Caenorhabditis elegans: one gene and its partners. The protein of the gene in region 2 purifies or fractionates together with the protein of the main gene of each other region. This does not show direct contact. Each region holds a gene or a part of one and is shown on either strand. Other genes may lie near its edges. The genes, in order: suox-1, dhgd-1 and vha-14.

The links.
Region 1: the proteins of dhgd-1 (region 2) and suox-1 fractionate together in Caenorhabditis elegans (co-fractionation; one large-scale study listed by BioGRID). This does not show direct contact.
Region 3: the proteins of dhgd-1 (region 2) and vha-14 fractionate together in Caenorhabditis elegans (co-fractionation; one large-scale study listed by BioGRID). This does not show direct contact.

Annotation. Positions count from the first base shown.
Region 1 is NC_003284.9:15,495,973-15,499,727, forward strand, and holds the start of suox-1 (sulfite oxidase), read left to right. Parts: upstream 1-1,582; 5' UTR 1,583-1,583; coding exon 1,584-1,695; intron 1,696-1,742; coding exon 1,743-1,939; intron 1,940-2,369; coding exon 2,370-2,549; intron 2,550-2,634; coding exon of another isoform or gene 2,635-2,682; exon of another isoform or gene 2,683-2,758; coding exon 2,759-2,920; intron 2,921-2,975; coding exon 2,976-3,200; intron 3,201-3,247; coding exon 3,248-3,458; intron 3,459-3,529; coding exon 3,530-3,620; intron 3,621-3,663; coding exon 3,664-3,755. Other genes in the region: gob-1 (Trehalose-phosphatase), read left to right, coding at 1-53, 100-242, 822-971.
Region 2 is NC_003280.10:11,538,566-11,542,320, reverse strand, and holds dhgd-1 (D-2-hydroxyglutarate dehydrogenase, mitochondrial), read left to right. Parts: upstream 1-1,690; coding exon 1,691-1,883; intron 1,884-1,956; coding exon 1,957-2,523; intron 2,524-2,579; coding exon 2,580-3,096; intron 3,097-3,158; coding exon 3,159-3,345; 3' UTR 3,346-3,417; downstream 3,418-3,755. Other genes in the region: gtf-2E2 (Transcription initiation factor IIE subunit beta), read left to right, coding at 1-51, 99-190, 241-528, 1,178-1,495; Y62F5A.9 (uncharacterized protein), read left to right, coding at 3,522-3,695, 3,751-3,755.
Region 3 is NC_003281.10:9,506,075-9,509,829, reverse strand, and holds vha-14 (V-type proton ATPase subunit D), read right to left. Parts: upstream 1,731-3,755; 5' UTR 1,723-1,730; coding exon 1,676-1,722; intron 1,624-1,675; coding exon 1,506-1,623; intron 1,457-1,505; coding exon 1,309-1,456; intron 1,078-1,308; coding exon 722-1,077; intron 525-721; coding exon 420-524; 3' UTR 73-419; downstream 1-72. UniProt on the Caenorhabditis elegans protein: Subunit of the V1 complex of vacuolar(H+)-ATPase (V-ATPase), a multisubunit enzyme composed of a peripheral complex (V1) that hydrolyzes ATP and a membrane integral complex (V0) that translocates protons.

The DNA of each region.
Region 1 (3,755 bases), on a different chromosome or scaffold from region 2:
AGTATTAGAAAATTGTTCACCGTTAGAAATTGAAGTATGCGTTCATTCGTCAGGTAATGCTCAATTTTGAAATTTATGATGATGATTTTCGAATTACAGGAGCTGTTTGGAACAAGGGAGATGGAGTTGCTGCTTTAGTGGAATCACTCCACGACTCGTTGAAGGTTGGAAAAGTTTGTGTCGCAGGGGACACCGCGAGTGATGTTCCGATGTTGAAAAAAGCAGCAGACGAGAATCCAGAGGTAAGATTTTGAATTGAGATAGTATGTCAATTGAACCACTATTAGCATACTTTTGAATATTTTTCGCTATCAATAAAACAACAGTGGACAACATCATACATATTAAGAAATCATAAGATCGCGAGAATGCCTACCGTTTTGGCGCGGGAATATCTCGTTGCGAAGGCACCTAAACCACTGGTCATCGCATGTTCTCTGTGCTATCGCTATTTTTGCGAAGTAGGCATTTTCATGAACTGATAGCTTCTTAATAGCTTGCACGTGGTGTCATAATGTCCCAATTCGGTTTGATCTACTTAGATCTACGAAAAACGCGGGTTTTAAGACGCAGAGTTCTCAACTCTGATTTTACATTGTTTAGAACATGATGACGTCACATTTTTTGGCAAAAAAAAATCCCGCACTTTTTAGTAGATAAAATTGTGATGGGAGAGCCTGACTCCACGTGAGCCGCGTGAGCTGGAATAACCTCGTAGACACGCTAGTAAACATTTCTCTTATTAAATTAAACTTGTATTTGAAATAATGCTAAAATGCTAAACACATCAGATAAATTTCTTGAAAACTTATTTTTTCCAGAACGTTCGAGCCTTGTTTGTCAATATCAACAAGCAGCTTCAAGAGAACATCACAAATATTGTTGGAGACGCCAAACGAGTCTGCTTCATCTCTTCACCAGATGTTGCTCACGCTGCGTTCGCCCAAATTATTTCAGAGTTCTCTGGATGAAAAATGAAATTGGATTGTTTCCCAACCATTAACTATTAAATATTAGAGTGGTAGAGAGGTAGAGAACAACGACAACTTGTTGTTTCTCAAATGTTCAACCACCCATCGTAACTTGCAATCAATGACCGCTGGTCAATGGTCAGCAAAGGCGACGAAACCTGTCTCTCTCTCTCGTTTTCTCTACGACCTCTGCTCTCTCTCACTGTTCCTCTTCTCAGTTTCTGCCACGTGACGTTTTTTTTTTCTGATATTCCATTTTTCGTTCTTCCCTCAAACTTCAATTGATTAGAACTGTAAAAATACCAAATAATTCAGTTATTGTTTTATAGAAATCGGTTTTATTAGCATGTTTTTATTGTACCCTCATTCACCAAAAATTCCTCATATTCGAATAATTGTTTAATAAAACTAGTCGGGTTTTGCTTTCTTTTTCCCCCCTGATTCAGTCCACTTTTCAATGTGTTTGTGAACTTCGTAGTTTTTTTTGTTTCAATTTTTTTTCAAAATTCAATTTCTAAAAAAGATATTTTATTTTTCAAAGTATTGTTTGTTTTTCGGCAATCTTGATATTTTAAACTAATAAGTTTCAAAGATTTTGCAAATTTTTTCAGAATGCTTGGCCGGGGCACATCTTTCAATCGGTTTTTTAGACACCGGCGTCAGTTCAACAAACTTTCGGGCGCCACTTCAGAACATCAGAGGACTAATGAAAATCACTCTTATTGTAGGGATCTACCACGAAAACTTGAAAATCTATTAACTAATGTTTAGACAAGTATGCATATATTGGAGGAGCCGCAACTGCTGGAGTGCTCGGATTCAAACACTTTGTGAAAACTGCAAAGCTTGATCACGCCAAAGATGAGACGATGTCAGAGAAGAAATTGGAGAATCTTCAGATATACAAGCAGGAGGAGGTCAAGAAACATGGAAAAGACGCAGACAGGATTTGGGTTACGTACAAAGATGTAAGTTGATTATTTTCAATTAGGACTCTTATGTCGTCCCCGAAAACACCCCTCTCACGCCACAATCCGAAACCTTTATAGCGATGCGCGGAACCCAAAAAGCGTCGGACGTGGAGTCAACTTTGCTACAAATAGTGTCATACTCTATGCCACTGTTTGGTGCAAACTCCGCGTCCGACATTTTGTGGGTTCCGCGCATCGCTTTGAAAATTTGAATTGCGGCGTGAAAGCGGCACCCACATGGGAGCCCTAATTTCAATTATTCAACTGTCCAGTTTTGGCTGACTGGACAAAATGTAGTTTTGTGACTTGGTTACAGGTTTTTAAGGACTTTTTTCGAACGCTTAGAACATTTCAAACTACATATATGCGTATTTCCAAATTGATGCTTGTTTATAAACTGGAATTAATAGTTTTCTTATTTTTACAGGGTGTCTATGATGTCACAGATTTCATTGCCATGCATCCGGGAGGTGACAAAATTCTGCTTGCCGCCGGTGCAGCTGTCGACCCATTTTGGGCTCTCTACTCACAGCACAAGACAAAAGAGGTTCTCGAGATTCTCGAAGGATATCGAATTGGCAAACTTGATGTAAAAGATGTTCCGAAAGTAAGTTCATGGAGTAGAAAAGAGGTGGCATACAATCCTTTATTGTGTGATTTATGAAATTCTGGTAACAAATTTTTTTGTTTAGATTGATTTTGAAGATTTAAGTAATGTGAGTTTGGTTGATTTTAATTAGGGTCCGGGTACAAACGCACCCAAAATATTGATCAATTTATCCTCTTATCTCACCTATGTTTGTGTTTGTTTTACAGCCAGTCGCTGACGCATTCTCCAATGATCCGGAACGTCATCCAGCTTTACTCGTGCGTAACTCGAAGCCCTTCAATGCCGAAACCCCTCCTTCCCTGCTTACCGACCACTTCTACACACCCAATGAACTGTTCTTTGTACGAAATCATCTTCCGGTTCCTGATGTATGTGAAAAGGGGTTGTGTGTGTAGTGAAGTTTTACGCTGGATTTTTTTTTAGATCAAAACTGAAAACCATCGATTGACTGTGGAAACCATCAAAGGAAAAACAGTGGATTTGTCTGTAGAGGAGCTCAAGAAGAAGTACAAGTCATATACAATTGGAAGTGTGATTCAATGTGCTGGAAATAGAAGAGCCGATATGAATCAGTATAAGAAAGTTCAAGGACTGATGTGGGAAGGAACTGCAATCAGTAATGCCGAATGGACTGGAGTTCGCTTGAGAGTAAATTTGAATTTTAAAATATGAGATATTAATTAATAAAATTCAAGGATCTTCTCGCTGACGCAGGAATCGACGTTTTCGACGACAAGATCAAGCACGTCCACTTTGAAGGAGCAGATGTTGATCCGACTGGAACACCCTACGGAGCATCAATTCCCATTGAAAAGGCTCGTGGAGATGAAGTCATTGTCGCTTATCACATGAATGGAGTTGATATTCCGAGGGATCACGGAGCTCCTCTGCGGGTCATTGTGCCAGGTACAACGGTTTTAACATACTTTTATTTAAAAAATTTTTTCTGATAATCGTTAATAAAAGAAGTCATTCAGGTAATGTTGGTGCTCGACAAGTGAAATGGCTCAGAAAAATTATTGTTAGTGAGAAGGAAAGTGATAGTCATTGGCAGCAAAAAGATTATAGGTTAGTAATAAATCTCCAGAACCTACAAACCATCCAATTTCAGAGCATTCTCCCCAGCTGTCAACATTGGTGACGAGCTGAAGTGGAACACAGTTCCATCTATCCAAGAGTATCCTGTTCAATGTGCAATCTGTA
Region 2 (3,755 bases):
CAAAAGCGAAAAAGAAGAAAAGCTCTGGACCGGCTCAAAATTTGTCGAAACGTTAGTTGTTAAAATGTAATATTAGTTTCTGAAAACGGAATTTTCAGTCCCAGATTTCAATAATTCCGTGAGCAACGCCAATGCGTTATCAAATGCCACAAATTTCAGTACAATGGCGAAAATTGTGGATTATATGAAGGTATTTATATTTTAAAGCGAAATTTTCGAGTTAAAAACAGTTAATTGCAGAAACGCCACCTAAACAATCAACAATGGCCGTTGACACTTCAAGAAATTCTCGATGAACTTCAAATTTTTGATCTTTCAAAAAGAAGTCTTGCTTTCCTTCAAGAAGCATTACCAAACAATCCTCGACTGATAATGGAATCCGAAAAATTCGCATTTCGACCACCTTACAAAATTAAAGGAAAAACTTCGTTGGTAGCTGTCGCGAGGAAACATTATCAGGACGGAAAAGGTGGAATTCTTGTGTCGGATTTGGCTGAGTGTGTGGCTAATTATGATGCACTACTGCAGGTGGGAATTTGAATAATTTATAACAAAAATAAAGTTTTTATTTTTCAAAAATTTCAGCTAAAAATTAGTAAAATTGATTTTAAAATTATCAGCGGCTTATTTTTCGTAGTAATTAAAATTTGAGTTTGTGATGAATTAGATCTTTTAGAATTTCTGAGTATTCAACAATGTGTTTTTTTTTGATTTTCAAATTGAAATAAATTGAAAATTAAATATATAAATTCACAAAAAAGATAAAATGTGTTGAAAATTTATAAAATAAAATTCAGAAATTACTTTATTTTCAGACTTTTGAACAAATTAACGTTATTTTTCAATTTTTACACGAATAATTTTGATCATTTTCGATCCCATAAGTTAAATATTCCACAAAAAAACATTGAAATCGATAAAAAAAAGGTTTGAAAAAATATATTTAATAAAGTAAAAAAAAATTATTACACTTTTCCAGCATAAAACCTTTTTCCTTAAAAAATTTTCAAAGGAAAAACATTTTTGAAGGCAGAATATTCTCATTATAACTTTTCAAAAACTAGGGTATTTAGGGTTAATTTTGATTAAAAATCAGAATTTTTAAATTTGTCAAACTGAAAAAATCAAAGTATAAAAAAGGAGCAATTTTGTGAAATATTAAATTAAATTTTTCCAGCAAGTATCCTCTGAAGTGATCGTTGTTCCGACACAAGTCAATAAGAAAAAGGATCGAGTCGTCTTCTACAATGACAAAGAATTCACATTCCCAGAGCTCGAAGACGATTTCAAAGCCTTGTGGAGACACGTGTCTGTGGATCATTTGGATGAGAAGAAAATCGAAGAATATCTCCAGAAGAAGGGTCTCGACGCGATGAAGGATCTGACGCCGAAGGTTCGAATGCAGGCTCCACTGAAAAGAAAAGCCGCGAAGAGACGGTTCAATCAAAAAGTACAAAACGAGCATATGGACGGAGTTTTGGAGGATTACGAATGATTTTAATTACACACTTCTGTTAACAGTACATAAAATGAACTATGATCATTTGTATCTCTTCTGTCTCTTTTTCTTATCACTGCCCAGCCGTTTGTTTTCTTATTGTTTTCGGCAAATCGGTCACCTAGCCGAGCTTTGTCTCCTACTATTTCTTTTGAAGTTTCAAGTTATTTTTTGAAAAGTTTCTGAATTCAGATGTTTCTGAAAATCTTGCCACGAATCAGAAGACCAACTAGAAGCTACGCAGCAGTTCTTGCCGCCAGACATGAAGGATTTGCAAAAGTGATGCAGTCGGATTTAATGGCATTTGAGAATTTTCTCGGGCAAGATGCAGTGAAGAAGGACGATATTACAAATCATACTACAGATTGGACAGGCCAATTTAAAGGTATTTGTATTTTAAGATTAGGTTTATTTAATATTAAATAGGTACTTTAAATATTAAATGTTTTAATTTCCAGGTCCTGGCAGTGTCGTCCTCTACCCGAAGAGCACCGAAGAGGTTTCTGCAATATTGGCGTATTGCTCCAAGAACAAATTGGCAGTAGTCCCACAAGGAGGGAATACAGGACTCGTTGGTGGATCAATTCCAGTACATGATGAAGTTGTTATATCAATGAATAAAATCAACAAGCAATTCTCTTTCGACGACACAATGGGAATTCTCAAGTGTGATTCTGGTTTTATTCTGGAAGACTTGGACAACAAACTTGCAAAACTCGGATATATGATGCCTTTTGATCTCGGAGCCAAAGGATCCTGTCAGATTGGAGGAAATATTGCCACGTGTGCAGGAGGGATTCGGTTGATTCGATACGGAAGTCTTCACGCACATCTTCTCGGGCTCACGGTGGTTCTTCCCGATGAACATGGAACTGTTCTACATTTGGGATCAAGCATTCGGAAGGACAACACAACTTTGCACACTCCACACCTATTCTTGGGAAGTGAAGGGCAGTTGGGTGTTATCACAAGCGTCACAATGACTGCGGTTCCTAAACCGAAAAGTGTACAAAGTGCGATGCTTGGTAGGTTGAATATTTATATAATGGGTTCAAATTTTTCAATTTCTAATTTTTTTCAGGCATCGAATCCTTCAAAAAATGCTGCGAAGTACTGAAGCTTGCAAAATCCAGCCTCACTGAAATCCTTTCCTCCTTCGAACTTCTCGACGATGCTACGATGGAATGTTTGAAAACGAATCTAGGATTGCACCCAGTACTGAATGCTCCAACCCCATTCTCGATCCTTGTCGAAACATCAGGATCCAATGAAGATCACGATATGGAGAAAATGAGCGCATTTTTGGATGAATGCCTCTCAAAAAATCTGATTATCGACGGAGTGCTCGCTGGATCTTCTGCAGAAGCTACGAAGATGTGGCAATTGAGAGAAAGTGCACCATTGGCGGTTACCAGAGATGGATATGTCTATAAGCATGATGTTTCTTTACCATTGGAAAATTATTATGAATTGACGAATGTGATGAAGGAACGATGTGGTTCTTTGGCTAAAAGAATTGTCACTTATGGACATTTGGGAGATGGAAACACTCATTTAAATATTACATCTGAAAAACACAATGAAGAACTTGAAAAATTGTAAGTTTCGAGATTTTTCTTTTTTATAAAATTTTAATTCTATTAATAATTTCAAATTCCAGGCTCTATCCCTTCCTCTACGAATGGGTTGTCGATCACGGCGGGTCAATTTCAGCTGAACATGGAATCGGTCAACTGAAGCTACCGTACTCCACATTCGGAAAAGATCCTGAAGAACGACTTTTGACAAAGAAGCTCAAGAACATTTTCGACCCAAATGGGATTCTCAATCCGTACAAAACGATATAATTCTAATTCTAATTATTAATAACGCGTGTAACAATACGTTTAGTAGCACAACTGTATAAACATTTGACCCATATATCGTCGGTTCTATTCTCTTTAATTATTTGAGCACCTGTTGAAGGGGAAAATGAATCCTCCAACCCCCAAAGAGCCGGGTCAATTCATCATTCTCCACTAAAATGACGATCCTAATTGTCGCTCTTTTTGCTTCCATTGTAGTATTATGCCACGGAGGTACTGTAGAAACTTCACATCCAGCTTCGGATAAAATTATTGGAAAATATATAGAATTATCAATGAATCTTACGATTCTTCTCGCAGATACTGCTATAGATGAGGCTAAAATTCATCAGGTTTGTGATTTTTTTTTTGAGAGAATTTTTTTAAACCAATGTTCAATTATTCTAGTTATC
Region 3 (3,755 bases), on a different chromosome or scaffold from region 2:
AACGGCTCTTTTTCTGAACAAATAAATAATTAGGAAACAACTTACCGCGGTGGAAATTCTTATTTACTGAAGATTTCATTTACAAACCTTTACTACGATAACATCACGAGTCTAAATGGAAAATGGAAGCAGGAAAATGTTAGGAATTTTTAAGTTTTAAAAGAAAATGGTTGGAGTACATATTCACAGAATCGATTGTTCTTGCATACGGGAAAATTAATGGAATGTTTGTCAATCTATACGAGAAGAAACCACATAGAAAACAGGAAGAACATCGGAGGGTGTTGGATGAGGGGAAGGAAGGGGGATCTGATTACAAATAATGATAAGAGACTAGTGGTCAAATGAGTTCCTACCGTAATCCGAAAAAATTAAAATTACAGCAGAAATCATTGTGAGGCAATCAGAAAATCAAATGGTTAATTGAAAAGGACTGGCAAGTTATCTTCTTCCGATGCAAGCAAATTTCGCGGTGGATTATTTTCAGAATGTGCTGCGTCCTCTCCTGGTCCTGGTCCTTCCAACTGAAATTTTATTTATCTTTTTTAGTTTTAAGTCGTCTCTTATGGGTACACTGTAGTGACAGCATTTTTCAATTCTTTCATGACGGTTCTATTTGGAAAAATGAAAAACCGTTGTAAAAACTTTTCGACTTTTTTCTGATAATATTATTCAATATCGTGTGAGGTGAGAAACCCAGAAATGAAAAGTCGATACTCACTGCTTTTTGAGCAGCTTCTTGTTCCTTCAGTTTCTTTTTGTTAGCCTGAATCTTCTTCATTCTGAAGAACTCCTCTCTTTCCATTTCGTCCAACTCAGTCACAATGTATGTCAGAGTGTTCTCGATACGTGGGATGATAACGTGCTCGATAGCATTGACACGCCTGTTGGTAACCTTGATGGCTTCATCCAAAGTGATGAAGCATGTTTGAAGAGTGGCGAGCTCGACGAGCAATTCGATGGCCTTGTTGTAGTTCTTCTTCAGGCGAGCAATGTTGGCTCCTCCCTTTCCGAGACCAGTAAGATCGTATGCATCTGGTCCGTCTTGGTAGGCGTCGAATACCGGAAGGAAAACTCCTGAAAACGGTTAAATTTCCGACAAAATCAAATTATTTGAACTCTTACAGCTCGCAATTCAGCAGCACGACTTTTAGTTTTTTCGCACTTTTAAGTTAATTCGTTCTAATTCTATCGTTTTTTGAGAAGTAAACTCGATAACGCCAAAAGAAACTCATAGTTTATTCTTAAAATGTGGAAAAAAGTGAAAATATAATCGCGCGAAAAAATAAAAATTCTCGAATGACTCACCGACAACGTTCTCTTTCTTCATGCGAACACGATATTGAGCTTGAGAAACGTTTTGAATGACAGTGTGAGAGAAATCTCCAGCAGTGAACTTGGCTTCAGCCAAAGAGAATGCAGCCTCTTTCATAACCTCTCCCATGAGGACTTTGTTCTGAAAACATTTGATTTTTAGCGTTTCACCTCAGAATTTTCAAACAAACCTCAACAATCTTTCTCAAAATGTCACGGAAACGAAGATTCAACGCATCGGCCTTCTTCTTCAGCAGAGAATGACCCTTTTGAGCACCCTTCAGACGGGTTTTCATCAGGGTTTGCGCCCTGAATAGTTATTTTTTAGATTTCCATCAAGTTTTTCTTCTATAAAACTCACATTCTAGACGGGAAAACCGCGATTCTGTCTTTTCCTCCCCCGGACATGGTTCGACCTGGAAAAAAAGTTTGTTATTTCTATGAAAAAAACATTAAAATATGGCAAAAATGAGCGAAATCGGTTGTTCGCAAGAAATACACAAAAGACCAATGACTGCCGATTGATCGACGGCATTTTCAATAGAGCGAGTTTGCAAGTCTTGTCATGAGGTGGAAATATAAGAGAGAAGAGAGAAGAAGGCATATCTTTGATGTTTCATTGGGAATTGTTGGAATAAAACTTTATCCCAATAGAAAATATCATTTTCAGTAAAAGGTTAAAGGGGTTGGATAATCAATTTAAAAATTAATCTTCGATTTTTTTAAAATTTCAGCTTCAAAACTTTTTGAAATCTAATTTTAAAATAAATGTACTATTCGCAATTTAAAAGCCGGTCCCTCCACTTCTTTTAGCATTAATGACTTGTTTGTTAATAAATATTACCTAGACACGAAATTTTTCGTAAAAAAATACGGTAGCCGGTCTCGACACGACAATTATTTTTCGTAAATTACAAACTGGTGTGCAAGAGTAATGCATTTTTAAACTTTCGCTGCTGTGGAATTTACATTCGGGTTTTTCAGTTTTTCTCACAATTTGTCAAAATTTGAGTGTTTTAGTTGTTTTATTTCAGTTTGTTGATAAATAAATATATTTTGTTAACGAAAACCATGAAAATTCGATAAAAAATTCCGCATAAAAGAAAGTAAGAAATTACAGTAATCCTTAAAAGCACACATCCGTTTGTATTCAACAAAACATAGTCGTGTCGAGACCGGGTACCGTAATTTTCAATGTCCCGAAATAAGCTGACAGATTGAATTTTAAGAAAAGTAGATTGGAGAATTAACCAAGAAGAAAGCATAGAAGAAAATAAACAAATATTGATAAATCATCGTCAAAATTTATTTCACAAAACTTTAGAAAATTATAATGACACAAGAATTAGGTGAGTGGGGGGGGGGGGGGGGGGAAGGGAGCAAAATAAAAATATAATAAATAATATACATGCTATAGGGCGAAGATTGTAAGATCTATTTACGCAACAATCGTGTGAGCAATCCTTTCTTCGATTTCTCACATGGTGGCTGCCAATCACGTCGACTTCTGGTGTTCTTTTCTTCACATTCCAATCGTTTGACCCGTTCAATAAATTCAACAGGAACAGCAAAAAGAGATTGAACGTTTGCGAGGAGGACAGCGGTAATCAGCATTCCTTGTTGCTTTCGGCATTTACTACAAACACCTGTCCAGAGTCCGATGATTGCCTGAAATCGAAAATTTAAAAATTGATATTACACAGACACGAAATATAGCGACAAAAGTACGGTACCGGTCTCGAGGCGAAAAATTTTTGTCGAATGAAACGAATGAAGATTTCTGCAGAATTTTCAGTGTTGAAATATAGGTGTTAATTTTTTAGTTCTATAGTTTTTTAATAGATAAATATATTTTTATCAAATAATTAATTAAAATCCATAAAAATTCGGCAGAAATGATAGTTTGAAATTACAGTGCTCCTTAAAGACTCATACATTTTCTTATCTTACAAAAATTTGTCGAGTCGAGACAGTAGTTTTCTTGCAAAATGATCCCCTCCTTACCGCTTCACGATTGTTGGAAGATCCATTAGAAGGATCAGCGAGGTCGAAGACTGCATTCGTTTCGATCGATTGAATGAATGTAACAAATTTGTGAAGTTTCCGACGTCTTGAAGTTGGAAGCGAAAGAAGTACCAATTGAATTGCTTCGATCAACCACTGCTCTCGGATTTCGTAGGATTTTTCGTCTGAAAATTATAATTTTTAAGTAAAAAATGTGAAACTCTAATAAATATAAATTTCTTTACCTTGTATTTTCAAATTCACTCTATTATCAAATGGTGATAACGCACGTCGTCGATACTTTGAAGCTCGAATTCCACATGCTGGAAGATCTCGGGAGAATCCATCGACCATCAATCCAGCCTCTTCAATACTGGACGCAGACGAAGATATCAACGCTTTCGACCATCGCCTTGCAGCTCCATTTTCAAGCGTTG